7 linked regions of the Mus musculus genome follow. The protein of the gene in region 4 purifies or fractionates together with the protein of the main gene of each other region. This does not show direct contact. Links are inferred from orthologs where the notes say so. Each region holds a gene or a part of one and is shown on either strand. Other genes may lie near its edges.

Region 1 (4,260 bases), on a different chromosome or scaffold from region 4:
CCGAGGAGGGCTCCTTCCCAGCTCCATTCCCCGGTCGGGAGCCCGTCCCCCACCCGAGAGCGCGGGCCTCGTGGTCAGCGCCTCCGCGGGGAGAAACAAAGGCGGCGGCGGGGGCTCAAGGGCACTGCGCCACGGGCCCGCGCCTCCCCCATCCGGCGGCGGCCACGTAGCCGGGAGCGCGCCGCAGCCCGGAGCCTCGGGCCTCGCAGCTGCAGAGCCTGAACCGCTCTCTCCCTGCGGGCCTGCGACGAGGCTGGGGGAGGGGAGGCCCGCGCTTTGTCTGGAGTCTCGGTAGCTGTCATCCGGCTCCCACCCTCATGCACAATTGTCCCATCTCCCCCACGCACCGGCGCGGCGCCCGCCTCAGCGAGGCCCCAGCCGGTTTCCCGCAGCCCGCGGCCCACGGGGCTCGCAGCCTCCCCGCAAGCTCGGACGCACGGAGCATCCTAAACCCCACCACACGCAAGATCGAAAAAAAGCAAAGGCACGAACTTCACCGCTCCGATGCTCAGGGCCGCGGATCCTGCAGAGTCTCCCGCCTGCGCGCTTCGGTTCAGCCACATCCGAGGGGAGGGGGCGCGGGCAGCTCCGCCGGGGGGGAGGGGGAGCACCGCCCACGCCCTGGCCGCGCGGGGCCCGCCGGGAACGCGTCCTGCGGGGGGCGGCGCGCGCAATGCTCACCGTCCGCGGCGTGGCGCCCAGGGGGTCTCCTGGCTGGGGGGAGGGGGGGGAAGGCGGGCAGGAAGGACCGCGGAGGCCTCTCTGCGTCTCGGAGCGCGCCAAAGCGGGGCTCCACCCACCTCCTTGCCCGGATCTTGAAGGCCGGGGAGATAAACAGCGGGGTTCTTTAAGCACCACCTCTCACTAGGCGCGGGATCCCAAGGCTTGTGGCATCCGGGGTGGTACTTGGACTAAAAGTCCTTCTGGGAGGGACCGAGTGAGAACCCCTTTGGGACGTGTAGAAATATTTGTGTGGTTCGAGAATATTTGTGCGGACGGGCTTGGCAAAGGCGTAGCTGCAGAGAGCACGCTTGGGTGGAGAGGGCCGCACGCCCCAGCGCCGGCCTAAGCCCCTCCCGACGGCGTTATTTCAAACTGCGCGACCGTTTCTCCGCTCCCTACGCGGAGGTGGGGGCCGGACCTAGTTCCGGACGTAGTAACACGCCGAGCGCGAGCCTTCCGCAATTCACGGAACACAGTTGCGCAAGTGATGTAAAGCAGTCCCGCTGTACCTAAAGGGGGAGTGTCACGTACTTGGCGTAAGGAGAGTGTAGGCCCTTCCCGCCATTGGCGGCGGTTAGGGCGTTTACGTAACGGCGTGACGTAAGCGGAGACGCGTTAGTGGGGGGAAGGTTCTAGAAAAGCGGCGGTCTCGGCTCCAGCGGCAGTAGCAGCGGCGCCGGTCCCGTGTGCAGGAGCTCCTTTGCGGCCCAGTTTCTTGGCCATCGCCTGCTCTCCCCACAGCGCCAGGACGAGTCCCGTGCGCGTCCGTCCGCGGAGGTCTTTCTCATCTCGCTCGGCTGCGGGAAATCGGGCTGAAGCGACTGAGTCCGCGATGGAGGTAACGGGTTTGAAATCAATGAGTTATTAAAAATGGCATGGCGAGGCCGTAGGCACCGCAATGGAAACCGGCCACCCGCCTCCGTGGTCCGGCGGAGGGGATGCGGCCACTCGAGTGGCGGTTGGCCTTGGCGAGTTTCTGAGGGGTCGTTGGAGGAGGCCTCTGATTGTCCGACCGCCTTCCCCGCCCTCAGCCGCCCGGCGCCATTTCCCTCAGTTGGGGTGGGGGATGGGAAGTGCCCGCCGCGACCGGGCTGGACCGCTAAAGTAGCGCGTGAGCGGGCCATCGCTGGCCTTTCGATGTGCGCGGGCCTAGGGGCTCGGTTGTGTTCGCGGCGGAACGTTTCTGGGGCCCCCCCGGCTTCCCGGAGCGAGTCTGCGAAGCTTCCCCTCCCCCCTCTCCCGGGAACCGGATTTGGCGGCCGCCATTTTCCCGTCTCCTTCCTCGCCACGATTTTGCTTTCAACGCTTTAGGTTTACTAGTTTGGTTTTCTTTTTTCACCACTGCGTAGACGTGTTTAGCGATTTTCCTTTCTTTTGGAAGTCTTCATACCGTTTCGAGGTGGATTTAGCGTTTTGAGCTTGGGTCTTCAGCGTCCTGCGCACCTCGCTAAAGGCTCTCTGCCTTCCCCTCGACGAAATGGCGCCATTGCTTTCTGAAGCCACCGAGGCGCGGGGTGGGGGCGGGGTGGCGGCGCTCCACGAGCTTTACTGGAACAGGCAGAGAGAACGTAGTACAACCGAGGCCTGGGCGGGTGGCTGAAGGCAGCGTCGCTGCAAAGAGACCGTTTTATTTTTCATAATACGTAAGATTACGGGTGCTGTAGTAAAGCACTTGAGCATTAGTATAGTAGGAGGAAGTCAAAGTGGAAAAAATGGGAGCGCTCATCAGGAAGCTAGGGAGGCTATGTTGAGTGCAGGGTTACTTTCCTTTTATTGCAGAACTTTTATCTGCTTAAAGGATCCTCGGATCGAAATAATTCAAATTATAAGCATTTTTAAGGGAATCTTCGAATTTGTTGGTAAAGTCAACGGATCCTTAGCACGTGGTGTTCACTTTAAGGAAGTGAAATAGCTGACTTTTCATAGTTAGCCTTCGCTTAAAGCCTGGTTCAGTGGACGAAAATCCACGTCCTGGCTATATAAAAACTTAGTTTGGGGTCACAGTGTTTGAGCGTGGTCATTCGGTTTTTTTATTTTTTATTTGTTTGAAATTATGATGCATCATTACACTGATAAGCATTAGCTTTCGAATTGAAAGGGGTCTCCTTGGTTATTTTCTTTGACTCTAAGCACACTTATAAATAAAATAACCTTGTTTATAATCGATAGTGGACGTCTGGTAAGTTTGGAAAAAACCCGAGGTAAGTAAAGAGCTTTTGCTTTCGTTAGTGATATGAAAAAACAAGGTGTATTTAATACTTGCAACTTAGTTTAAGGAAAGCCAATTTACTGACATTTTAGTAGAGCTACCAGAAACACTATTTGGAGTCCTGATTAAGGCTTTTGTAACTATTTTGACTATTTAAAACAATTTTGGTCGTTTTTATTAAACATTTCAAAACCTAAAAATTGTAAACATTGGCTTTTTGAGCACATTTTGGAGAAACTTACAAATTTAGGCTATACAGTAAAATAACGGATTTGTTTTATAATTTTGCTTTTTCATTTCGTTGTGCAGTCATAGGTCCTGGATAGTATGACCTAATTTATGAACATCTTGATAAGTTTTTGTACTTAGCTATTGGAAAGCCAGTATTAAGTGCCTGACAAAACCAGATTTAAGGTGATATCTGGAGTTTCAGCATTCTTCATGGAGCTTGTTTCAGAGTTGCAGGATTTTTTTTTTTCATCTTGAGATACTTACAATTAACACCAGAGGGGGCAGCTCAGGGAAAAGCAAATATGCCACTTTTCAGAAACTGAATCTTGGAAGTGGTGAATTTGGAAACAGGTTTTTTAAATTTTTTTTAAATCTAAAAAGTAGTAAATTTTGGACTTGGGTTGTAGAATTTAATGAATTACAAAAGAATTCTTTAATACCCTTTAAATGACCTAAGAGCTGGGTATGGTTTTTCTGAATTTTTTTGAAGAAAATCTAAGAAAGTTTACGTGAATTAGAAGTTAGATCGAATATTAGTGACTTTGAAACTTGTATAGCTCAGGCAATTTTTGGTGTAACACAACTAATATGCAGTTTAACATATGGTTTAAATTTGATGTAAGTTTTTTTTCTCCCCCCCAGAAAACTTTAGAAACTGTTCCTTTGGAGAGGAAAAAGGTACTCTACCAGCAGGTCACCTCATATTTAAGAATTTAATTTCCTGCATACAAAGAAAGTGTAAATAAAAATTGAAATGGTATTTCCCTTTGCAGAGAGAAAAGGAACAGTTCCGAAAGCTCTTTATTGGTGGCTTAAGCTTTGAAACCACAGAAGAAAGTTTGAGAAACTACTATGAGCAATGGGGAAAGCTCACAGACTGTGTGGTACGTACGTTAACTCTGAAAGTCTGGCTGTATGTTTGGGTGTGAATACTAGGGAATACCAGTATCAATACATTCTAATTTATATTGCTACCTAATGCCGGGAAATTAAATGCTTATCTTTTGGATTTAAAGGTTATGCGGGATCCTGCAAGCAAAAGATCAAGAGGATTTGGCTTTGTAACTTTCTCATCCATGGCCGAGGTTGACGCTGCC
Region 2 (3,710 bases), on a different chromosome or scaffold from region 4:
TTCAGGGCTGCAAAACAAAGACACATATTATTTAAATCAGTTTTATTTAAGAATTTCCAACAATGACAACTCTTATAAAAAAGCATCCAAGCACAGGACACAGAACTGCAGCAAACAGCATTCTTATGAATAGCTAACAGACATGAGAACTTCCACCCTTCTTTGAGACACCTGAGCTCACTGGTGAACTCTGCTTCCAAGTTCTCCTGCAAAGCACACCACAAGCTCAGTCCATGTTCGCAGCCCATCAGCTTCAGTTCACGTTCCCACACTTCCAGATCAGTAACAGAGGAGAACACACACCATACAGCATTCACAGCAGTTGACAGAGGGGGAGGGAAGTACAAGTATTTCACTTAACACATTCAACTAAAGTGGGTTTCCTAAGAACAAAACTCAAAGTCTTCCAACTGATGTGGATGTCCTTTGATGTAAAACATTCGTACGTTATTTGCTATCATTGCTCTCTGCACACTCTCTCACCAAAGCCACAGGATTGAGTGACACATCTCTCCAAGTTAAAAAATATCCATTTTCCACCACCAAGTCTCTGCACGCGCTCTCCTTTTCTCGCTCATACTAGCCTTTCATGCCTCGGCACCACCATCAATCCCACACAAGGTTTCAAAAGTTCAAACAGCCTTCTGGTTCCATATCACAGCCTTGCGTTCATAGCGTTGATACGACTCCATGAAATAAAGAGTAGCGGATAAAAATGGAACACCCACCGTCAAAGACGCAGCCTGTGCAGCGTGATGACGAATTCTTGGATGAGAAAGCATGTAGACAGAAGTATTCCTATGGCAGAATATTTACAGCACTACTTTCAATGAAGTGCTTCTTCCATAAACATTTGAAATGAGATGAACTGCAGAGATTAAATGAAGGCTTCATATTGTACTTTCGTATATGAAGGAAGACAAGTGTTAAAAACAAAACCAAAAGAATCAAACACCATGACATCATGATCTCCCAAATGGAGATTTTCCTAAGGAAAAAATTCATAGGGTGGGATTCAAATTAAAATAAGGAGAAAAGAATGTAGTTCTAACCAATGGTTTCTACTCTGAACATGCAAAGAATTCATTAACAATTTCAATGATAGAATATTACAGAGAAACCTTCTGAGATCAATTGTAGTGTTGGTTTACCAATTAGGCAAACAGCAGTTCACTTTCACCCACTCAGTATTTTAACCCTTTATATAACAAAACTTATAAAATTCATTTAGCTTTCCCCTCTTTTTTTCTAAAGAAAAATGTCAAAAATACTGCTGAATATACTCCACACTGAACAAACCAATCTGAAAATTTTAGTACATATGTATTTTACAATATACTTACCATGAGTTTAGAAAAATTTGAATCCCACCATTCTAAATCTACCTAACCTAATAACCAACCTACTAACCACCCCCCACCACCTACATTCCCCAGCCAGAAGACTTAGAATCCATGCTCGAGCCAAAGCCCCCATTAAAACCACTGCCCGATCCTGCATTTGATGCTGACCCCCAACCAAGGGGGGCACCAGAATTAGAACCACTGTAGGAATTATTTCCAGAACCAAAAGCCTGATTTGGTTCCCTCTGCATGCTGCCCTGGCTTTGGTTATTCCCAGATGGGCCCGACTGGTTCTGCTGGCTGGCTAACATGCCCATCATACCCCAACTGCTCTGCAACGCTGCCTGAGCCGCAGCCATCATCGCTGGGTTAATGCTAAAAGCACCAAAGTTCATCCCTCCACCCATATTACCACCCTGGTTATTTCCCAAGCCAGCTCCACCCCCTCTACTGTTACCAAACCCACCCTGATTCCCAAAGCCACCTGGATTACCACCAAATCTTCCACTTCTTTCTAACTGTCTATTGCTATTATGCTTAGGTTCAGCATTGGATATATGCACGCTGATTCCTTTAATGATCAAATCCTCTCCACAAAGAGACTGGGCAACCTGTAAGAAACAAGGATATAAATAAATGATTAGATCAACCCAGATATCAACACAGCAGTAAAACCCAGATCTTAATATAACCCAACTAAGGAGGAGGAAAAACAGGCAATTTACTTAAACCCAACCAGCAGCCTTTAGTTATAGTAATGTTAAGCAGCAGTATGTAATAGCCCCCAAATCCAAATAATGACAAACACTTGAAGGGCATCTTACAACTATCTAAATCTACTCTCTATTCTGTGAAAAGGGAAGGTGGCAATCTGCTGAACAATTCACTTATCATTTTCAGTGTTGGAGACTGAGTGCAGCCCCTGGTGTACCATGCTGGGCACATACAGTAGCACTAAACCAGATCCATTCCCAGCCCTGGGACAAATGACCAACAAATATACCTTATCATCTGCAAAGGTGACGAAGGCAAAAGCTCTGAATGGTTTGGGAATGAAGACATCTACCACTTCTCCATACTGACAGAAAAACTGCTGAAGCTCTTCAGCAGTCATGTCCTCTGTACAACGTCCAACAAACACCTTTCTGCTTCTCAAAGGCTCGTCTGGGCTTTGCTGGTCAAGAGAGAACAGGAGATGGTAAACACATCAATGCATACTTAAGTGCCTTCCCGTCTTGGGTGTTTTTGTTTCTAAAGATGAGGCTAACTGTGTACTACTGCCTGGCCTGTACACACACCCGCACCCCAGATGGAAATTAAAGGTGTATACTGACAAGACTGGTTTCTTGGAATTTAAAAAAGGGTTTTGCCTTCATGCATCTACCTGTGCCACATGCACGTCTGATGCCTTTTAAGGTCAGGAGAGAATCACACACAACTGTAGTGAGTTGTGTGCTGCCATGGGGGTGTTAAAAACGGAATCAATCCTCTCCAGGAACAACAAATACTATTTGCCAGCCGGCCTCATTTCCTCGGGAATTTCAAAGACAGGCTCTTATGAACCCCAGAATATCCTTAAACTCGAGAATTACAGGAATGTATCATCATCATGCTCAGTTGTAACTTGTTTTATACACTGAGAGACCATTATACAAAAGGGCAGAGGTTGATGCTATTAGTCAGCCCTGCTTCTCTTTTGAAGGTGGATTTCTCACTGAGCCTTGTAATTTGGCTAGATTGGTGGCCAGCAAGCTCCAAGGATTCACCTGCCTCCTCTCCCCAGGAGTGGAATTACAAGTACCTGCTATCACACCCAACTGTTTAAACAAAACAAAACCACAAAAATTTGGGTCTGGCTCGGTGTGGTAGCTCAGGCCTTAAATCCCAACACTGGGAAGGTAGAAGCAGAGCAGTTGAGGTCAGTTTGGTCCACATACTGAGCTCCAGACCAACCAGGGCTACAGAGAGAAACCCTGTCTCAATATAAATAAAAATGTGTGCTCTAGGATCAAGTGCAGACCCTCATATTTAAGGTAAGCACTTTACTGACCAAATGAACCTATCTCCTCAGTCCTTTTAAATAAAGTTCTATGAAAGTATTCTTTGAGCCAAAACACAATGTTCCAAGTCAGCCTTATTTGCTTGCATGGAATGAATTCGGGCTGGGGATGTGGCTAAGTGTTCAAATGCTGCCCAGAAAAGCACTAGATGAATATTAAGTTCCCCAGAACATTAAAGCCAACATTAAGTAAGCAGGGTGGTACCTTTAATCTGAACTCTTAGAAGACAGGCAGGCAGATCTGAGTTTTGAGGCCAGCATGGTCTACAAAGTGAGCTCCAGGACAGCCAGGGCTACAGAGAAACCCT
Region 3 (3,710 bases), on a different chromosome or scaffold from region 4:
ACCTTCCTTGTCTAGGTTTGCAAGCATTATGGATAAGAGTCATTGTGCACTGGTCTCTGACCCTTAGCCTCTTCCAGAATTGAACTTGCCATGGTGTCAGCATCTTTCTTCCAAAGCCAATGAAGTAGCTATCAATTTCCCCTATAGAAGGAAAGGTTCCAGAAAATGATCAGTTTGTATGCTTGTGTATATTGAGGGTCATTTTTGTTTTATCTTTTACATGGCTGTGTGATTATTTTGTGCCCTAGAAGTGCTAAAGGAATTGCAGCAATAGTGGACATCAGCAGGGCATTTTAAGAGGGACAGGTTCTCTCAACTTGAAGGTTGTAAGTAACTTTGAATTGTCTCCTGTCAGTTACCCTGAGTATGAAGTTTTCTGTGCTTTTTAAAGAGCATTCGTAATGTCTGCTGATGGGGACACTACAAAGGTTTTTAGAAATTGAAGTATGACAACTCATAGCCAGTATGGAGGTGAAGTTTTATTCCTTCTAAATTTTATTGTGAAATTTTTACCTGTGCTATGTAGTGGAAAGGATGATTGTGTGGATTTCAATGTGAAAACTTTCAAGAGGTTTTTTTTTGTTTTTGTTTTAATAGTAAATTACTTTGAGCATGACTTCCTGATTTGAGCTTAGGATCTGAAGTGCCCAGCCAGGCACACATTAGTATATGAACATCTACATAAGTCTCTGACTTCTACTTGTGCTTTTTATTCCTGTTTCAGGTGGAGCTGGAGGCAGTGTCCCTGGGATCGAGAGGATGGGCCCTGGCATTGACCGCATTAGCGGTGCTGGCATGGAGCGCATGGGCGCAGGCTTAGGCCATGGCATGGATCGAGTGGGCTCTGAGATTGAGCGCATGGGCCTGGTCATGGACCGCATGGGCTCAGTTGAGCGCATGGGCTCCAGCATTGAGCGCATGGGCCCACTAGGCCTTGACCACATGGCCTCCAGTATTGAGCGCATGGGCCAGACCATGGAGCGCATTGGTTCTGGCGTGGAGCGCATGGGTGCCGGCATGGGCTTCGGCCTGGAGCGCATGGCCGCACCCATTGACCGTGTGGGCCAAACCATTGAGCGCATGGGCTCTGGTGTAGAGCGCATGGGTCCTGCCATTGAACGCATGGGCCTAAGCATGGATCGGATGGTGCCCACAGGCATGGGGGCCAGCCTGGAGCGCATGGGTCCTGTGATGGATCGGATGGCCACCGGCCTGGAGCGCATGGGCGCCAACAACCTGGAGCGCATGGGCCTGGAGCGTATGGGAGCCAACAGTCTTGAGCGCATGGGCCTGGAGCGAATGGGCGCCAACAGCCTGGAACGTATGGGCCCTGCCATGGGCCCAGCATTGGGCGCTGGTATTGAGCGAATGGGCCTGGCCATGGGTGGAGCCGGAGGTGCTAGCTTTGACCGAGCCATTGAGATGGAGCGGGGCAACTTTGGAGGAAGCTTCGCAGGTTCCTTTGGCGGAGCTGGAGGCCATGCACCTGGAGTAGCCAGGAAGGCCTGCCAGATATTTGTGAGAAATGTAAGTGGTTCTTTAGTGGAATTTTCTTGTGGTTGTTGTGAAGTGGGGAGGCCAGTAGACTGAATGATGTAGACTGGAGAGGGAAGTTTGATGAAGGGAGAACTGGGCAGTACGGGTGATACAGCTTGCCTATCTCCAGAGTTGAACTGGAAGTTGAGGGGTTACTGGAAGAGCAGTAGTCTTAGTGCCAGGCATGGTGGTCCACTCCTTTAATTCCAGCACTCTAGAGGCAAAGGTGAAGTGGCACTCTGGGATCCAGTCTAAAAAGAGCTACCAGGTGAGACACTGTCTCCAAAATACAAAGAAACAAAAATACAATTGCCTGGCATTGCCTGTGATATGCCAGGTGAGGAATAGACTGAGCTCTAAAGGTCTGTGGTTTCTGGTCCCTGGCTTGAGGAGCACTTCAGCCTTGGCACAGTGATTCTGAGAAAGGTAGCTGTGCTTGAGTTACGTATTGTCACCAGATTGTGAGTTGTGCCACTTAGTAGCCTAGTTCTACATAGACTTGTTTTGTTCCCTGCTGATTGTCTTGAGGTCAGCAAGTGAGGATTTGAGGGATTACTGGGGGTTCAATCTAGGGCTGTCCACACACTAGGCAAATCACTGTATACCCCATAAGCTGCACTCCAGCCCAAGTGCCTTCAAGTCATATTCTCGTATCTAGTAGAATGTTTGTACATTAAGACTTTGTTGTATCACAGATTAGTCTGCCTCTTTTTTTCCTCAGCTCCCATTTGATTTTACATGGAAGATGCTAAAGGACAAGTTCAATGAATGTGGTAAGTGTGTAACAGGCTCTCTGTGCTTCCTGTGTCGTGGCTTGGTGATGCTGCTGAGTTGGAGCAGTGGAGCTTCTTTCCTAGTCTTACCCACCACTGTCCATGGGCTCCAGAGCGACCATGGGCCTTGCCATTGTTCTACCTGCAGGTGTACAGGCAGCTGTTGGGTGTCCTGGTATGTGTCATGCTGTGTGCTCATTTCATCCTTGCAGTTCTTTTCTAGTTAGTTTTTGGAAGCAGACTCTCACTTTATAACCTAGGCAAAACTCAAGTTCATGATTCTCTTGCCTCTGCCTTGCATTTGCTGGAACTATAGGTGAATGCTACCACTCCTGCTTTTTCAGAGTTTCTGAGAGGAGGCAGTGTTGTCATCTTTTTACATAAGAGTCAGCAAAGCAGTATTCCTACGGTCACAGACTTGTAAAACACAAAAAAAGTAAATTTAAGAAAAATTGATTTCCTCCATTAAACTCATAGCTGGTTTGGTTCCTCGGGAACTCATGCTTAGCAGTTGTAGGTCTGAGCACACAGTATGGGGTGAAAGTCTGGTTGTGGATTCTTAACACGAGGCAACCTTTCTGGAAAGCTTCTTTGATGACCAGGATGCAGTCGTCCCCTGCTTGCATTGCACCTTCTCAGCTAAACCAAGATGTGGGTGGCTGCTGGATCAAGACACCTGTTTCTTGTTTCCTCATGCAGAAATGGCTCACATTCCAATGTTCTTGGTGTGTTCCTTGATTCTTTGGGATAAGCTGTAGAGTCAAAGCCAACTATCTTTCCTAGTCCCGTGATTCTCTGAGTTGCAGTTTTCACAACAGTCAATATTGTAACTAGATATTCCAAAAACTGGGAATGGAATGTGTCACTCTCCCCACTTCTGAGAAAATTCAAACTCAAAAGATTCTGCAGACTTGGTTACATTTCTCTCCTGCCCTTGAACATGAGTTATATGTTCAGGTATATCCTCTGCTTTCCTGCCAGAAAATTCTCTCTGCCCCTTTGCTTTTTTCCTCCCCCTTTTCTCTTTTTGAGATAGGCTTCAAAGTCCTTATGTAATCAAGAATGACCTTAAACTCTTAGTTGTATTGGGGAGGGGGGTGACGGGGGGGGGGGGGATATAGATTGGGCCTTTTAAAACTCAGATGGCCCTCACTATATAGCTAGAAATAACCTTGAACTTGTAGTCTTCTACCTCCTGAATGCTTGGATTACAGAGGTAGCCACCCTGCCTGGTTTGTACAAATGCTGGGGTTCAACCCAGGGGTTTTATGCATGCTAGGCAAAGCACTGTGCCCACTGAGCTGCATCCTTAGTGACCTTGAATTCTTGATTCTTCTACCTCCAACTTCCAAGGGCTGGGATTACAGGTGAGATACTTTTCCCTCTCTTTTTCTCCTGTCT
Region 4 (4,387 bases):
AAGCATGCAAATCCTATCAGCTCTTCAACATAAAAACATTCAAATACTTTAGGCCCAGAACAACTTCAAAAACTTCTATACTGCTTTCATATTGAGACTACAAGCATTCAACCTACACTTGCTACAATTTACTTTTTTGACTTCTAATAGGCTACCTAAGCCAAGTTCCTTTCATAACAATTTTCATACAGAGAATTACACTAGCTAAAATATTTCTGGTCCCATGACGGAAAATAAGTTATAACACCATAAACTGTAACAATCTAGACTCACACTAATCTAATGTTAAAAGAGCTTACCTTTAACTTGAAGTACTTTGCTAAACAGCAATATGAGGAAGTTAAGATGGCTGAGTAGAATCCTCAAAGGTCTACTCTGAACTACAATACTAAATATAGGCAAAGTTAACACTTTGGAAATACTTCTAATTTCCACCTTTAAGATGGGCTTAAGTTATTTGAAGGTCTCCAGGAAGAAAATGTGAATTCAACAACATATATTCAACAGCCTACTTTAAGTACCTAGACTATTCAACTTTTTAAAGGTCTACTAATACTAATTCATGTCGCCAGAAGCTGCCATACCTCACTGCTCAGCAACAAACAGGACTACATACCTGAGAAGAACTGAACAATTTCTTCCTTGCTACATCCAAAAGGGAGTCCTCTAAGCCGTACAAAGCCATCATTGGCTGTGTCAGGACTATTTGGACCAGTATGCTTCAACACCCAATCCATTTCAACGTTGTTTGACTTGAATACTGAAAGAGGTGCTTAGAATTAGTCAATTAAGTTGGAGAACAAAGTTCAGATTTCCTGGGCTTTTAGATAACTAGGAAGAGCTGCCATAAACTCCCTTAGATGACCATTTCCATGCGGTCAAATACCTAAAATTCAGAAGGGGTAAGACCTCTATGTGTTTAAACGTTTACTGTTACTAGGGCAATGTAAATCAAACCTTCAACATATCTGTGTCCCATAGTTTCTCTGTCTTTTTTCAAGGCCAATTTGACTTCATCTTCTGATTCAAGTTCAACAAAAGCCTCGCCACTTGGTCTGCCTTCTCTGGTGTAGATGAAACGAATACCTTGAGCCCCATTTTGAATTTTGCAGTCTGAAAAGAAAACAACGCTTAATACAGGATTTAAAACCACTACAGATAAAATGCATATTCCTGTCATCACACACACCAAAAAAAAAAAAACATGCCTAAAAAGACTGACCAAGCAGAACACGATCAAATTATCTCATATACAGGATATATTCCTAGTCCAACAAGGTAACTCAATGCTCAAAAATAGTTCAAATGGAGCAGGGCAGTGGTGACGCACGCGTTTAATCCCAGCACTGGGGAGGCAGAGGCAGGCGGATTTCTGATTTCGAGGCCAGCCTGGTCTACAGAGTTCCAGGACAGCCAGAGCTACACAGAGAAACCCTGTCTCGAAAAAAAAAAAAAAAAAAGTTCAAATGAAGCTACCACCTTGCCTCTAAGTTTCCATTAACCATCTCTTGGTACACTATCTCAGAATAATCTCATCTGGATCTGGTGACTTCACAGCATTTTCTTGTTTGGGTACCATGTCAGCTTCCCTCTATCAGCAACCACATAACAATTTCATTCAAATCCAAACTCCAGCTCAATATTCATCCGAAAAGGGACCAATGTTAACAACTAAAGGCTCCAAGCTGCAGTTCAACTCAAACCCGGACGGCAACGGCCCCCTGCAATTGCTTGCAGTATACTTGGGGCTCGATTTACAGATCGTTTTCTGTTACCACAGCTAAATTCAGATGGTAAGGTCAACACTACAAGTACCTTTTTACAAAACCTTACACGACTTGAGAAGAAATCACATCTTTCCCTACTTAAATTTTTCTTAGACTACTCCAGAATGCACAGATTGATGCATAGAGACAGAAAAAGTTTTAAAAGAAAACAAATTCAGCAGGGCCACCAGCATCCCCAAGGGGGTTGGGGGGGGTGCGGATTTCGCAATTACCATTGCGTAACAGCGGCCAACAGAGCGCGAGCCGCCTGGGGAAACCGCTGGTGGCCGCGACTCGCTAGGGGGCGCCCGGGAGACCCGCCCCGCCCCAACCCGGCCCGGCCCGGCCCAGCCGCGGGCCCCACTGACAACTCCCGCCTCAACTCACCAGAAAAAAAGCGCTGCACTTCATCCGCGGAGCAGGACCAGGGCAAGCCCCGGACCTTCACCACGAAGCCCTCTCCGCCTTCTGCTCCCAGCATCATCGTCCCTTCGGTGGTCCTGGCGTCCACACAGATTGCGGGGCTGCGGGGTGGGGGTGGGGGTCAGGAACGCGTCTGAGAAAACAGGCATTTAAATGGCCCTCCCACTTCACGGCGCACAGCGGGCACCGGGCGCCGCCATGCGAGTCCCGCCCGTCAGGATGCCTGGGCCCCGGAGACTCAAGCATGCAACCCGGCCTCGGCTAGCGACCCGATGCCCAAAGCCGCCCAGTGCGCCCAGGGCCGAGGCGCCAAGCTAATAAGACCCTGGCCCACAGCCACGGTTGAGACGAGGAAATGGCGGCCGCCGCTTCCGCTCCGCCTCCTCAGACATCTCACACAATAGAAAGCGGCGCGGCCTGCAGGCCTAGGCGGCGCTGCCACGCCGGCGAGACACTCGCGGCTCCCAGGGGCAGCCTGCGCCTGCCACGGCCCCTCAGGTTAGAACCTAAGCTCAGCGACAAGCAATCGTCACCCAAAGAGGTGTCCGTGGAGAGCTCGGGCAGCAGTCGAAGACGGAAAGTCACTCACCTCCACAAAAAGCCTCGGCGTGGCTGAGGAGAAATGATAAGCGGGCGCCTGCGCAGGCTAAATAAAGCCCTTCCAGCAAGCTCTGCGCACGCGCACCCTGTTGCCGGCCCCGCCCCACTTGCGTCACAGAGAGATTGGACGCATGCGTATTAAGAAACCCCGAGCTCTCTCCCGCCGTCCTATTATTACACGCATGCGTTTGGGCTCAGCCCTCTTCATAAACTGACCGAGGTGTTTTTGGTTGTTTTTTTTTTTTCTTTCTGCGCCTGCGCCTTTTTGCAATTATTGCGCTTGGCGTCTCAGCGGTTTCTTGTTTTACTTAATGCGCATGCGGCTACCTTCAAACCGTTCTCTAGACCTACCCGCCGGAGTGGGGGAGGGGAATGGCGCTAATCAGCTCCCCGCAGGGACTGGGTAGTAATCCAGAGTTCGTTCAGGTTTGCAGGGGCGGTAGTTCTACCCTTAATCCGCAGCTTTTCATCCGCGCTCCTGTCGGTTTTGAAAGACACCACGAAGAAAAGGAAGCCATGCCCTTTCTCCTCAGAACGCGTAGGAGCTGGAGGGCCGGGTTGTGCCAAACCTCCTCTGGGTACCGCCCCGCCCCCTGCGCCCAAATCCCCGATCTCCGTGGGGCGCCTGGGACCAGTCCCCTTACCTGCCCGCTTTAGGGGGTCAGTCCCGACCCACATGGGCTGCCAGTGCCCGAGCTAGTCCTGTACCCCACTTTGCCTAACGGACTCGCACTCTACGAACCCCTCGCCCTTGCACGAGAGGCGCTCGGTGTGCGGCGCCTCGCGAGGGAAGGCTGAGACTGCCAGGGGCGCGAAGGACGCAGCCCCAGAGCGCTGCGCCCGACCGACCAACGGGCCTCTCCCAAGGTGGAGACACGCCCGGGTCATCCCGTGTGCCCTTACAGAGGTAAATGGGTGACGTTTAAGAGAATTCCTGCAACATAGCAGAATACGGATGATGTCCCGAGTTTCTCCGAATCTGACTGACCTACCCTAGAAATTAACAATAAGAGTTATTGTTTGGGCGGTGCCACGGTAGGTACCACAATTGGTAAGCCTCTGAAAGCCATCACAAGAGGTTACAGGCAAAAATACGCTTTTCTTTCAAGTGCAACATTGAGGAGGCTAAATCCAGTTTGAACAGTTTGTTTTTTAAAAGGGGGGGGTGTCATCAAAGGAAAGGTGCAGAGACTGCGTGCAGAACTCAGACCTTTTAAGTCTGCGCAAGGGTGTTAAGTAGAAGGGCATCACAAGACTTCAAGAGAGCAACAGGAGCTGTGTAACGTGAACCTTCAGGTGTAAGGGAAACTCGGATGAGACAGGCTGGGAGAATAACTGCACATGACCTCACCTGCAAAGGATCTATCTAGAGGAGACAGAAAACACTAGTTTAGATCATCGAAAAGTGAGAACTCCCAAGTCTCCAGGCCAGGAGGTGGGTGAAAGGCAAGAACACAAGCCCAGCCGAGGAGAACTGCAACTTCAAGACTTGCCTGAGCAACAGAGTGCGTTCAAGGCAGCCTGGGAAATTTACTGAAAGCCTGTCTCAAAAAGAAGACAAGAGAAATAGTAGTGGTAGAGAGCTTGCTTAACATGTA
Region 5 (4,156 bases), on a different chromosome or scaffold from region 4:
TGGCTACATAGAATAGTTTGACCTTGAACTCTCAGATCCTCCAGCTGCTGCCTCTCAGGTGCTATAATTAAAGGCATGCTCCACCATGTTTGCCAAAATAGCGTTCTTTTTTTTTTTTTTAATTCTGTTATATTTATGTTGTGTTTATGGGTGTCACCACACCCACAACCTTTATAGTGAGGTCGGAGAACAAAATGCAGAAATCGCTGCTCTCCTTCCACCACTGTGGGTCTCAGAGGTTGAACTCAGGTTGTCGCGATTATACCTGCTGACTCACCTTGCTAACACGATAAAGTATTCCCTATTTTAATGAAGGTGCAGTTAGGTTACTTGAAAGGAATATATGCCTACGAAAGTAAGTAATACACCAATACTTGTCAGAATCACCTAACATAGCGAAGTGGGGAGGAGCTGGTGGAACTGGGGAAGAGAAATATGTGATCAAGATATATTGTATGACCCAGCACTCGGGAGGCAGAGGCAGGCGGATTTCTGAGTTCGAGGCCAGCCTGGTCTACAAAGTGAGTTCCAGGACAGCCAGGGCTACACAGAGAAACTCTGTCTCGGAAAAACCAAAAAAAAAAAAAAAAAAAAAAAAAAAAAAAGATATATTGTATGAATTTTTTTCAATAAAAAGAATCATATAATAGTAATGCTATCGAGGGAATAGTGGTGGTAAGTGGAATTAAGTTATTTCTCATATTTCCATAAGGTAAAAGTTATGTTTTCAGGTGAGGCGGCACACGCTGGAGATTGCTGAGTTTGATGACAGCTCGGGCTACACTAACGAGTATTATGTAAGTCAGGATGACCGAAAAAGACGCTATCTAAAAAAAAAAAAAAAAAAAAAAAGTTGGAGAAGAAAAAAGAATTGTATTTCTTGTTATGGAAAGGAAAATTTAATTAGATTGTCAAAATTTTAAAAACAAAGCCTCCGATAGCAGAGGATGGTTTCGATCCATCGACCTCTGGGTTATGGGCCCAGCACGCTTCCGCTGCGCCACTCTGCTACCCACTGGTAGCATTCTCTTCTTTTCCATAGAAGAGCTTACCATTCACCGCCTCAACTTCTGAACGCCCTCCGCTGTCAGTGGGGAAAATTGCCTTCATCCCTGTTATGTCTTCTTATTGGCTGGCTCCTTTACAGGGCATTTTTCATTGGTTGCTGCGTTAACCAATAAACGCGCGGGACGGAGTGAGGCGGGAGCCTATCGCGCAGGCGTTTGTTGGGACACGCCGGCCAGACGTTTCTCAGCCAGCCTAGTTCTTCCCAGCGAAGAGCGGTTGTGTGGCCTCCATTGTTCAGGATTAAGCGAGCCATGAGGTAAGTGGACAGAGGTGCTTGAAAGTTCCAGCCGAAGTCTCGGGGGCCTGGCTGAAATGGAGTCGGAGGAACAAGGGCCTGCATCTGGGCGGCCGGCGGAAAGCCTGACCGCGGGGGAGTGGAGCAGGAGGAGGCTGGCGGACTCCGGGAATCGGGCCCGGAGGGGGTCGGGGCCCAGCAGGGGGAGTTGTGTTGATACCTGGGTCTCGGGGGCCGGGAGGGGATGGAGGAGAGGTCTTAACGGCCCAGGAAGATCTCCCTCCGTGCGCAATAAGTAGGCTGGAGCGTTGCGCAATTTTCTGGTACCTAGTGTTTGACCAATAGTACATGCCTCGTAACTGTTAATGCTGTATTAATAAATGATAAGTCACTTTACTGTGCATATTAGGACTGGTGTGCCTCACGATCGTAGGTTACCTTAGTAGGGGTATGTATATCAGGTTCTGAAACTCGTATTTTCCTGATGTGAGTTTTGATAAAATCCTGAATTAGAAGTGGGGTGTGGTGTCGAAAGCTGCACTCACAGCACTTGGGAGGTAAGGCAGGAGATACATGAGATTCCGTCTCAAAAACAAGAAAAAGGAAAAGTCCAGAATTAGGATGTCATTGGGCACCATTTGGAATCTGGGAGAAGAGAGCATGAAATATCTATCCACTTCTGTAGTTCGAGGCGGTCAAGGTAAGTCAAATTGAAATAACATTGATGGTGTGATGGAGACCTTTTTCAGCGAATTGAGAGTAAAATGTATGTATTTTTAGGGGTGACAGAGGACGTGGTCGTGGTGGGCGCTTTGGTTCCAGAGGAGGGCCTGGTGGAGGGTGAGTGTGGCTGTTTGCATCTTTGCCTTGGTTTGTTTCAGTAGAAAGGGGTTTGGAGTAGATTGTTCTATTTCATTTCATGAAAGTCACGAAAAGCATTTCTTTTCCTGATGTCCTACTAAGTGGATTTGACCTTTTGCTAAGAATGATACAGCTCAGAAACTTTTCCAATTCTTAAGACAGAATTGGTTGGTGCATTGTGTACCTCTCTTGTGCTTTCTGCTTGAATAACTTTGGGTTGTTTTCATGTTTCAGGTTCAGGCCTTTTGTGCCCCATATCCCATTTGATTTTTATTTGGTGAGTATTTTGGCTTTGGAGGACTTTCCTGTTCACTTATAGGTGTAGAAATGGAGCCCCCTTGTTAATGGAGTCAGATACTGTTTGGAGTAGGATTCAAGAGTGGATCTTTTCTTTGTTTGAGTGAGGGTCTTCTGTATGATTGGCTGGCCTGGAACTCTATGAATACTTACTGAGTTGACTGCAAATTCACCATCTTCCTCCCTCAACCTCCTGAATGTTGGAATTACAGTCATGCATTCCCACATCTGGTGTAAATTTTTATTTACTTAGTATGAGTGCTAGAGATTTGAACCCAGGACCTTGAACATGTTAGATCTATATCCCTAACACCTAATTTTATTTTATTATTGTATTTATTATATGTCACTATCTACTTATAGGTATAGCTACAGGTATAACATGGCTCTAGTGGAGGCTACAAATTTTTTCCAGTTCTTGCATAACGGTGCACATCTGTCTGTAATTCTAATTTCCAAGGATCTTATGTCCCTGTTGATTTCCACAGGCTCATGCACACAGGATGCATATGCATTCACTGTGGCACTCACACATACACATAAATAAATATTTAAAAAAACAAGCCAGTTCACCAGTCAGTCTTTAAAGAGACTGTAATCCTTTTGTAATCCCAGAAATGGAAGCCTGAGCAGTAGGACCATGTTCAGAGTTCAAAGTCAGCCTGGGTTACTAGAGTGAACTGTCTCAACAAAAACAAAACATAGAAAACAGAGTCAGCAAGGTAGGAAAAATAATTCCTTTACAGTTTCATTGTAATATTTGTCTAAAAAATGTCTTTTTAAAAAATAATTTTTAGGACTTATTTATTTTGAGACAGTGTCTGTATCTATAACCTTGGCTGGCCTGGAAATCAGAGATCTGCCTGTCTCTGCCTCCACAGTTCTAAAAGTGTGTACTATATTACATGGCGGATGGGTTATAATCAGTTCCTTTCTTTCTTCATTTATATTTGGATTTTTAGATAGGGTTTTTCTGTGTAGCCCTAGCTGTCCTGGAACTCAGAAACCCACTTGTGTCTGCCACCTGGCTTGCTTTTTTAAAAAATTTCATGTGTATGTATAAAGTACTTGCCTATATAAATATTTACCATATGTGTGCTTGGTGCCTTTGGAGGCTAGAAGAGGTGACTTGTCAGAGGTTGTGAGCTGCCTTGGGTATGCTAGGGATCAAATCTGGTTCCTCTGCAAGAGTAGCAAATACTCTTCACCTGCTGAGTTATCTCTCTGGCCTCTGGGTAATTTCTGTTTGTGTGTGTGTGTGTGTGTGTGTGTGTGTGTAAATAGGGTTTCATTGTACAGCCTTGGGTGGCCTATAATGTACAGAGATCTGCCTGCCTTTGCCTCCTGAGAGCTGGGATTAAAGATGAGGGTCATCACTGCCGGGCCTTTATTTCTTTTTATATAAAGGTAATGAGTACTCAGGCTGCTGTTGTAGCTCAGTTGGTAGAGTGCTTGACTGGCATGCACAGAGCCCAGAGCATTTCATATATCAGTATGAGGGTACGCACTAATAATCTAAGTACAAAGGAGGAAGACACAGGAAGATAAGATTACAGTCATCCTCAGCTACATAGCAAGTTCAGGTCAGCCTGTGATTTTATATAAGACCCGTCTCAAAAGAAATAACAGAAAAACAAGGTTTGCATTTGGACTTGAACATCTGAAGGAGGTGAAAACAAGTGTTGTAAGGTGTAC
Region 6 (3,710 bases), on a different chromosome or scaffold from region 4:
AATTTTCATTGCTACTTCATAACTAATTTTGCTACTGTTATAAATCCATGTATATCTGATAAGCAGGATGTCTGTGACTCAACCTATAGGCTGAGAACTATTGATCTAGATCAGGAAACATTTCTAAAATATTGACTCATTCTCTTCTCAGTCTACCATCTTAATAATATTTTAATTAATTGCATGGTGATAAAGGGTTCACTTTAACATGGTTTTCCAAACAAAAAATAACTTTTCTTTTGTTTTTGACTTAAAAAAATATAGTTCAGAAATACCACACTATTAATGGGCATAATTGTGAAGTGAAAAAGGCCCTTTCTAAACAAGAGATGCAGTCTGCTGGATCACAGAGAGGTGAGTAGGCTCAGATACACATAAACAGTGGGCATGAACAGTTGTGGGAAAGATGTGAACTTTTCACTCCAATTCTTGTTACAGGTCGTGGAGGTGGATCTGGCAACTTTATGGGTCGTGGAGGAAACTTTGGAGGTGGTGGAGGAAACTTTGGTCGTGGAGGAAACTTTGGTGGAAGAGGTAAGGTGTTCTCATTATATGTGCTGATCTATCAAATTTACTAGTAAGTTGAAAGTGAAATTTTAATTCAAATCTTGCATTTCCTTAGGTGGCTATGGTGGTGGAGGTGGTGGCAGCAGAGGTAGTTATGGAGGTGGTGATGGTGGATATAATGGATTTGGAGGTGATGGTGAGTCTTAAAATGTTGAACTTGGTTATTTTTAATTTCTGCATTGCTGGGAATCACAAGGCCTCAAATGCTAGGTGGTAGGACATACAACACATGTGGTAGGCGACATGTTTTGGTTTTAACAACCACATTAAAAATGTCACACCTTCTAATTCCAAAACTTTGAATAGGTGAAATACTTTTCTAACTAGTACCACAGACTAGGAAGCCTCTTTCCAAAGATGGAAGTCAAATATTAGTTAGTTGTCCTTGGCTTAGTAGAGTAGGATTTATTGTACCAGAAATAGAACTAAAATTTTCCAAAGTAAAATTGAAAACTGACTTTAAAGGAAAGAGGGCCAGGTGTGGTGGCGCGCGCCTTTAATCCCAGCACTCAGGAGGCAGAGGCAGGTGGATTTCTGAGTTCGAGGCCAGCCTGGTCTACAGAGTGAGTTCCAGGACAGCCAGGGCTATACAGAGAAACTGTCTCGAAAAACAAAAGAAAGGAGGATGCTAATATTAAGATTTTTTTAACCGTCAAGATTACTTTGTGCTCTGTGACTAGATTCTAGAGTGTGAAACTAGGTCTTGCCACTTACAGTATATAATAAAAAGTTAGAATTATTTGGTCCCCCTGAACAACTTTCTATGTGGTTTTCTTTGCAGGTGGCAACTATGGTGGTGGTCCTGGTTACAGCAGTAGAGGAGGTTATGGAGGTGGTGGACCAGGATATGGAAACCAGGGTGGTGGATATGGTGGTGGAGGAGGAGGCTATGATGGTTACAATGAAGGAGGAAATTTTGGTGGAGGTAAGTTACATAGATGTCTGGATTAAATGCAAACCAGCGTTTAAATTAAAATTCCTTGCAGTATGTGGAACTGCTTTAAAAGATAAGCTGAAATAAAGTTAACTGTTACAGCTCTACTGTAACACAGCTTATCCATGTGAAATTTACAACTTAACCCTAACTAGTCATTATTTTTAACTTGTGGGAATATAGCACTACATAAATTTCACATTTGAAGGTGAGTGTGCAAGGGGGGGGGTCCTTTGAATTCCAGGTTAGTCTGGATATTAGAGAAGAAAAGTGAAGGTTTCTATTGTACAACTCAATGGTTTTTTGTTTTTTAAAAGATTATTTGAGTAAAAGGTTTAAAAGTTTATGACTGCAGCTGTCCAGACACACCAGAAGAGGGCATCAGATCAATTGTACGTGATTGTGAGCCACCGTGTGGGTGCTGGGAATTGAAGTCAGGACCCTTAACCACTCAGCCCATCTCTCCAGCTCCCAATTCAATACTTTTAAGAATATTCACAGTATTTTATAATGCTCATCACTAGTCCCAGAACATTTTCGTCAACTCAAATATAGGACCTTATTTTATTTAGCCCAGCAAGCCTCGGGCTACATTGGCCTCTGGCTTTGTTCTTTCTTGGACCCACCTCCCGAGTGTTGGGACTGGATTTAGCATGCTAGGCATTTGATTTTTAAAAATTGTTTTGCAGTGTCTGTAGATACTGCAAATTGGCAAGCTTTACTGTTTATTTAGCATAGTGAAACGTACATTTACTAGTTTAGTAAATTAAAAGAGAAGTTTTAAATTTTGGCTTATTGCTGAGATTTCCTTAATTCTTGGTGAATGCAATGCCAAATCAGCTTTTGGAATACATTGGATATTACTGTATTATTATCTATTGATAAATACTGCTTATATACTAACTGTACGGTGGACTGTACACAATTATTGCATGTAATTTACAGGAGAAACTTGAACCTAATTGATGTGAGTGACTGACATTAACATACCTTCCGTTACTGCTTTAAAAGTTGCATCAAAATCACAGCAAATACTGGTCTAAATGATGTGGCAGGAATAGAAAAGTGGGTGTTTTTTATGTATGCTAAAATTTGATAAGCGTCTTAGAAGTAGACAGATTCCACTTACTGGTCCCTCTTTACCTGTTTATTAGATCACTTAGGCTTCTGATAAATGGAGTTTAGTACCTAAAATTGCAATTGATGCTTGCATGAAAATACGTATAATACTTGCTGCCATGATGGTCCGAATAGTTACAGTGGTATTATTTTAGAAACTACAAATAAGATCTTTGTCATTTCAGGTAACTATGGTGGTGGTGGAAACTATAATGACTTTGGAAATTATAGTGGACAGCAACAATCAAATTATGGACCCATGAAGGGGGGCAGTTTTGGTGGAAGAAGCTCAGGCAGTCCCTATGGTGGTAAGTCTTTTTAATCAAAAATTTTCAGAGCCATCTTGGTTAACATATTCCGTATATTCAGAACTGTTATGTGTTATTTCCAGGTGGCTATGGATCTGGAGGTGGAAGTGGTGGATATGGTAGCAGAAGGTTTTAAAATAAAACAGAAACGGTAGGTATCTTTATATTTTTAAAAATAATGATAAAAAAGAATATATGGAACTGTTCACTGAGTGTAATAATTTTTTTATCCTATATTATTCAACAGGCTACAGTTCTTAGCAGGAGAGAGAGCGAGGAGTTGTCAGGAAAGCTGCAGGTTACTTTGAGACAGTCGTCCCAAATGCATTAGAGGAACTGTAAAAATCTGCCACAGAAGGAACGATGATCCATAGTCAGAAAAGTTACTGCAGCTTAAACAGGAAACCCTTCTTGTTCAGGACTGTCATAGCCACAGTTTGCAAAAAGTGCAGCTATTGATTAATGCAATGTAGTGTCAATTAGATGTACATTCCTGAGGTCTTTTATCTGTTGTAGCTTTGTCTTTTTCTTTTTCTTTTCATTACATCAGGTATATTGCCCTGTAAATTGTGGTAGTGGTACCAGGAATAAAAAATTAAGGAATTTTTAACTTTTCAATATTTGTGTAGTTCAGTTTTTCTACATTTTAGTACAGAAACTTTAACAAAATGCAGTTTCGAAGGTGTTTCCTTGTGAGTTAACACGTGAAGAAGATCATTGTTAATTACTATTTTGTATGAATTTTGCTAAAGTTAACTGTAAAGAAACACCTACTGACTTGC
Region 7 (4,317 bases), on a different chromosome or scaffold from region 4:
ACCATGTGGTTGCTGGGATTTGAACTCAGGACCTTCGGAAGAGCAGTCAGTGCTCTTAATCGCTGAGCCCTCTCTCCAACCCGTCATTTTTGTTCTTATCCACTTGGTAAACTCCCAGTAGAAATGTCATTCCCTCAGACCCATCCTAACCTACTCATTGCAAAATGAATTACCTGATCTCTGTGATCCCAGAGTCCCTGGTATTGGAATTACAGTTGGTTGTTTGCCCACATTCGGGTACTAGGAATTGAACCTGTGGTTTCTCTAGAGCAGCTGTCTCTCCAACCCCCTTGAATTTCGTTTTGTCCTTGAACTGACAAAAAGTGTTCATGCCTTTAAATGCTTTCAATCATTTCCTGTAACCAAGAAGCATTTTGTAGTTCCCCAGGCTTAGACTTTAAAGATCAGAAGGTCTGACCCTGAACTGCCTCGTACCTCATTCACATTCTTAGTCTAGCCGCTCACTGCTCTCATAAGATCCATCTCCCCTCCACCTCTGCCTAGCTCCGGGACTGGAGAGGTAGGCAGGGTCATGCACAGGCTAAACGATCGCTCTATCATTAAGCTACATTCCTCAGATTTCTTTACAAGATGATGATGGGGGAAAACCAGGACGACTGTAATTCCAGGATGCACAGGGCTAAGGCAAATAGGATCAAGGATTCGAGATCAACTGAGCGGTACTGAGAGGCCAAATTAAAAAAAAAAAGGGGGGGGGTAATTGTGGGTTTGAAGCCTCTTAAGTTGTATACATATGTGTTATTGTTGAACCAGCCTTAGGGCCATAGGGTCCAGACTAAAGCTCATCTTCTTCCAGGTTAAACGTCACAATCTATAAACCTTGTTAAGGTCTAAAGAACAGCAAGCCGAGGCATTCCTAAGTGAAAAACGAGACTGATCAGTGTGCTGTCTGTCAGGAGAGAATGTGGAGGACCAGAGCGACACTGCGTTCGACTCAGTTGCTAGGCCAGGGCAAGCGAAAGTATGCTGCATCTTCCCCAGTGAAAGTGGGGCCCAGCCGCTGGGCCGGTCGGAAGGATTTCGGTTCCCACACCCGGAGACTCCAGGCCTTGACTACACAGTTCCGCTCTCGGGCGCAGGGCCCTGGCACCGCCCCTAGCGGGAGGCCGGGTCGTACCATTCTGCCTCTAGTGGGGTAGAGGTGTGTCGAAGGCGAGCCCCGGGCGACGGACGAGAGCCACCGGCCGCAAGGAGAAAGCGCGTGCGAGTGTTTGGGAATAAAGCGAGTTCGTTTTCCCTCTTGTCTTCCTGAGCTCTCCGTATCCCCGGGGAAGGGTGGGGACCTGGGCGTGCCTCCCCCTCGCGCTTCTCCACTTGGTACGTCCCGGTGGCGCGTAGGCGGCAGGCGTACTTAAGGCGGGCGCGGGAGGCGGGGCCGCTCAGTCCTCGCGGCATCGCTTCGCGGTCGTCTGGAACTTTGTTGCTTGGCGGCCTGCGCTGCGCGCGTGCGCGGACATGGCTTCAAACGGTATGTGGGAGCGCGAGGCGGCGACGGCGCGTCCCTGCGAGGCCTCGTTCCCTCGCAGCAAGGCTTTTGGCTTTCGGCTGGGCCTGCGGTGGCGGGCGAGTGGGCTCCCCCACCTCTGGCGGGAAGCAGCGGGTGGAGGGAAGGGGAGGGCGGTGTCGCCATTTTGTTTGGCTCCCCTGGCGCCTTTGGCGCGGAGACCGTGGGTTTTCTCTCCTGGCCCGGTCACTTGAGTCGAGTGTTGAGAGAGACGCTGCCTGGCGACGTGGGGTGACCGGGGTGAGGGAGCTCTGGGTCTCCGCAGCTTCGCCCCACCCCCTCCCCTCCCTCCGTTCCCGGCCTCGCTTTGTCGCAGTGCTGCATCCGGGCACTTGGTGCGCGCACGCGCTCCTCTGGCCCCTCCCCCTTCTCGCCGCGGCCCCCCTCCCCCCCGCCAGGAGTTGGTCCGTTTTTTTTACTTTTTTCTTTTTTTCTTTCTTCTTCTTTCTTTCTTTCTTTCTTCTTCTTTTTTTTTTTTTTTTTTTTTTTTTTGTCGCGAGACCCTCGGCGGAAGACTTGTGGTCCGGTGCTGGCCTCGCCCTGCTCGCTGGGTCCCTTGGGAAGGGGCGGGGCCACCTCTTCCCGCCTCCGTGGCCGCGCAGCGGGAGCGGAAGCTCCTGGCTGGCCTGCGTGTCCGTGGGATTGGGAGGACCGCCAGGGGATGACCAACGGAGTCAGGGACCCCGGCCTGAGTTTCCCACTTCAGAGTTGAGTTTTCCTAAGGCCGGAAGGAAATCAGAGGAGTCGCTCTCCGAGGCCACACCCTCTCGCTGTCAGTTTTGTCCCAGTGCGGGGGTAGAGCTTGGGTTTCCTGCAGGGAGCTGCTGAGCTACAGCTTCCCAGATTGTTGAAAGTGCTGTCTGCTTTGGGTGCGCATGGTAGGCGGGAGCTCAGTTATTTGGAGCCACACGTCGGGAACCTTGGGAGCACCATGCCATTTGGGGGTTGGAGAGTCCCATTCTTCTAGCTGCTTCCTTGGGCTTGAACTCAACTGTGTAATAGCGCTGACTGTCAAAGTTAATCTTGACATCCGGTGATACCACCTTTCCTGTATACAGAGCTGCTGTGAAGATATAAAATGTGGTGACGTGTGTTGCAGGCCTTGGAAAGACCTGCAACAAGTCAAAAGGATTTTTAAACTTAAGGGATGATCTGTATTTTGAGTTTTTTTTTTTTTTTTTTTTTTTTTTTAAAGATTGAGCCAGGTTTGGTGGCACACACCTTTAGTTTCAGGACTAAGAGGTAGAAGTAGGCAGATCTATGTGAGTTCGAGGTGGTCTACATATTGAATTCTGGGATAGATACATAATCGAGACTTCTGTCTCAAAAAAGAAAAAAGGCAAAAAGGACATGATGTTGGATTTTTTTTTTTTGTTGTTGTTGTTTTTTTTCGAGACAGGGTTTCTCTGTGTAGCCCTGGCTGTCCTGAAACTCACTCTGTAGATCAGGCTGACCTCGAACTCAGAAATCCATCTGCCTCTGCCTCCCAAGTGCTGGGATTAAAGGCGTGCGCCACCACGCCCGGTCCGATGTGGGGCATCTTTAATCCCAGCATTTGGGAGGCAGAGGCAGATGGAGCTTTGTATGTATTAAATTGGAGGCCATCCCGGTCTACAGAGTGAGTTCTATGCAGAGAAACCCTGCCTCTAGATAGAGAACCAGTCCACCCACAGAGCTCTGTGGCTGTCATGCTTAGTGGTCGCTTGTTTAGTGGGTCCCAAGCAAGCCCTGGGTTCTACCCAGAACAAAAGTCTAAGACTTATTGGTGTCTAGAAATTTGTGCTTTCTTTGCTTTTTGTAATAAAACTTGGCCATTTTGTCTCATGAGGAACTAACTTATGCCTGTTTTTGTAGATTTGTTTCATCTGGAGTGCCTAGTACAAAAGTTGAAGAATTTATTTCTATTCTTAACTAAAATTAAGACCTTTTTCTTTCCCATCTTTTACAGACTATACCCAACAAGCAACTCAAAGGTGAGTATACTGTTTCTGGTCTGATGCTAGAAGACAGCAAGGGTGATTGATCTAACTTGAGTTTTATGTATTTCTGTATGCTTTTGTTCTTATTCTTTTAGTTGAAGATTACTGGTCTGTTTTCTTGTAGCTACGGGGCCTATCCTACCCAGCCTGGGCAGGGCTACTCCCAACAGAGCAGTCAGCCCTATGGCCAACAGAGTTACAGTGGTTATGGCCAGTCAGCTGACACTTCAGGATACGGCCAGAGCAGCTATGGTTCTTCTTATGGACAGACCCAAAACAGTGAGTTCTTAGTAGAACACATCTTCATTTCTTTATGAATGTTAACTTTTCTTAAACCTGAACAATACCGAAATTCCCACATTTTCCCTAAAGTTTTGTAGTCATTCTTTTAAAACAAAAATACTGATTTGTAATTGATTTTATATTGGACTATTTTCTTCCTGCTTACTATTTTTGTGAAAAAGCAAGTTTGCTAAAGAGAGAACCAGTTTAGAATGACGGATAGGAAGGAAATGGTCTGCTTGGGAATTCTTGAAGTTGGCTGACAATCTGTGATTCACAGAGGTGGTGCCATTTTTACCTCACAAGGGCAAAACATTTTTCTTTCCATATCAGCACATTTAAAATGTAGTTAGGGCCAGGAGTGGTGGCACACACAACTTTATCCAGCACTCTGGGAGGCAGAGGCTAGTAGATCTCTTGAATCTTGAGTTGGAGACCAGCCTGGTCTACAAGGTGAGTTCCAGGACAGCCAAGGGCTACACAGAAATCCTGTCTTGAAAAAAACAAAAACAGATTAAAATGCAGTTTGTA

What was found.
Region 1: the proteins of Hnrnph1 (region 4) and Hnrnpa2b1 purify together in Homo sapiens (affinity purification with mass spectrometry; 5 studies listed by BioGRID and IntAct, with this or other methods). This does not show direct contact. The link is inferred for Mus musculus from reciprocal best matches to the Homo sapiens genes HNRNPH1 and HNRNPA2B1.
Region 2: the proteins of Hnrnph1 (region 4) and Tardbp purify together in Homo sapiens (affinity purification with western blotting; 3 studies listed by BioGRID and IntAct, with this or other methods). This does not show direct contact. The link is inferred for Mus musculus from reciprocal best matches to the Homo sapiens genes HNRNPH1 and TARDBP.
Region 3: the proteins of Hnrnph1 (region 4) and Hnrnpm purify together in Homo sapiens (affinity purification with mass spectrometry; 3 studies listed by BioGRID and IntAct, with this or other methods). This does not show direct contact. The link is inferred for Mus musculus from reciprocal best matches to the Homo sapiens genes HNRNPH1 and HNRNPM.
Region 5: the proteins of Hnrnph1 (region 4) and Ilf2 fractionate together in Homo sapiens (co-fractionation; 3 studies listed by BioGRID and IntAct, with this or other methods). This does not show direct contact. The link is inferred for Mus musculus from reciprocal best matches to the Homo sapiens genes HNRNPH1 and ILF2.
Region 6: the proteins of Hnrnph1 (region 4) and Hnrnpa3 fractionate together in Homo sapiens (co-fractionation; 3 studies listed by BioGRID and IntAct, with this or other methods). This does not show direct contact. The link is inferred for Mus musculus from reciprocal best matches to the Homo sapiens genes HNRNPH1 and HNRNPA3.
Region 7: the proteins of Hnrnph1 (region 4) and Fus purify together in Homo sapiens (affinity purification with mass spectrometry; 4 studies listed by BioGRID and IntAct, with this or other methods). This does not show direct contact. The link is inferred for Mus musculus from reciprocal best matches to the Homo sapiens genes HNRNPH1 and FUS.

Annotation. Positions count from the first base shown.
Region 1 is NC_000072.6:51,466,972-51,471,231, reverse strand, and holds the start of Hnrnpa2b1 (heterogeneous nuclear ribonucleoproteins A2/B1), read left to right. Parts: upstream 1-1,386; 5' UTR 1,387-1,555; coding exon 1,556-1,561; intron 1,562-3,805; coding exon 3,806-3,841; intron 3,842-3,936; coding exon 3,937-4,047; intron 4,048-4,179; coding exon 4,180-4,260. UniProt on the Homo sapiens protein: Heterogeneous nuclear ribonucleoprotein (hnRNP) that associates with nascent pre-mRNAs, packaging them into hnRNP particles.
Region 2 is NC_000070.6:148,616,838-148,620,547, forward strand, and holds part of Tardbp (TAR DNA-binding protein 43), read right to left. Parts: intron 2,518-3,710; coding exon 2,347-2,517; intron 1,955-2,346; coding exon 1,424-1,954; 3' UTR 869-1,423; coding exon of another isoform or gene 813-868; 3' UTR 799-812; coding exon of another isoform or gene 731-798; 3' UTR 1-730. UniProt on the Homo sapiens protein: RNA-binding protein that is involved in various steps of RNA biogenesis and processing.
Region 3 is NC_000083.6:33,647,412-33,651,121, reverse strand, and holds part of Hnrnpm (heterogeneous nuclear ribonucleoprotein M), read left to right. Parts: intron 1-724; coding exon 725-1,527; intron 1,528-2,257; coding exon 2,258-2,309; intron 2,310-3,710. UniProt on the Homo sapiens protein: Pre-mRNA binding protein in vivo, binds avidly to poly(G) and poly(U) RNA homopolymers in vitro. Involved in splicing.
Region 4 is NC_000077.6:50,376,194-50,380,580, reverse strand, and holds the start of Hnrnph1 (heterogeneous nuclear ribonucleoprotein H), read right to left. Parts: upstream 2,904-4,387; 5' UTR 2,779-2,903; exon of another isoform or gene 2,723-2,778; intron 2,346-2,722; exon of another isoform or gene 2,291-2,345; 5' UTR 2,251-2,290; coding exon 2,154-2,250; intron 1,114-2,153; coding exon 958-1,113; intron 761-957; coding exon 617-760; intron 1-616. UniProt on the Homo sapiens protein: This protein is a component of the heterogeneous nuclear ribonucleoprotein (hnRNP) complexes which provide the substrate for the processing events that pre-mRNAs undergo before becoming functional, translatable mRNAs in the cytoplasm.
Region 5 is NC_000069.6:90,474,922-90,479,077, forward strand, and holds the start of Ilf2 (interleukin enhancer-binding factor 2), read left to right. Parts: upstream 1-1,279; 5' UTR 1,280-1,319; coding exon 1,320-1,324; intron 1,325-2,083; coding exon 2,084-2,143; intron 2,144-2,398; coding exon 2,399-2,441; intron 2,442-4,156. UniProt on the Homo sapiens protein: Chromatin-interacting protein that forms a stable heterodimer with interleukin enhancer-binding factor 3/ILF3 and plays a role in several biological processes including transcription, innate immunity or cell growth.
Region 6 is NC_000068.7:75,662,223-75,665,932, forward strand, and holds part of Hnrnpa3 (heterogeneous nuclear ribonucleoprotein A3), read left to right. Parts: intron 1-264; coding exon 265-354; intron 355-438; coding exon 439-534; intron 535-622; coding exon 623-703; intron 704-1,348; coding exon 1,349-1,492; intron 1,493-2,805; coding exon 2,806-2,928; intron 2,929-3,011; coding exon 3,012-3,064; 3' UTR 3,065-3,079; intron 3,080-3,175; 3' UTR 3,176-3,710. UniProt on the Homo sapiens protein: Plays a role in cytoplasmic trafficking of RNA. Binds to the cis-acting response element, A2RE. May be involved in pre-mRNA splicing.
Region 7 is NC_000073.6:127,966,089-127,970,405, forward strand, and holds the start of Fus (RNA-binding protein FUS), read left to right. Parts: upstream 1-1,390; 5' UTR 1,391-1,476; coding exon 1,477-1,489; intron 1,490-3,473; coding exon 3,474-3,498; intron 3,499-3,628; coding exon 3,629-3,783; intron 3,784-4,317. UniProt on the Homo sapiens protein: DNA/RNA-binding protein that plays a role in various cellular processes such as transcription regulation, RNA splicing, RNA transport, DNA repair and damage response. Binds to ssRNA containing the consensus sequence 5'-AGGUAA-3'.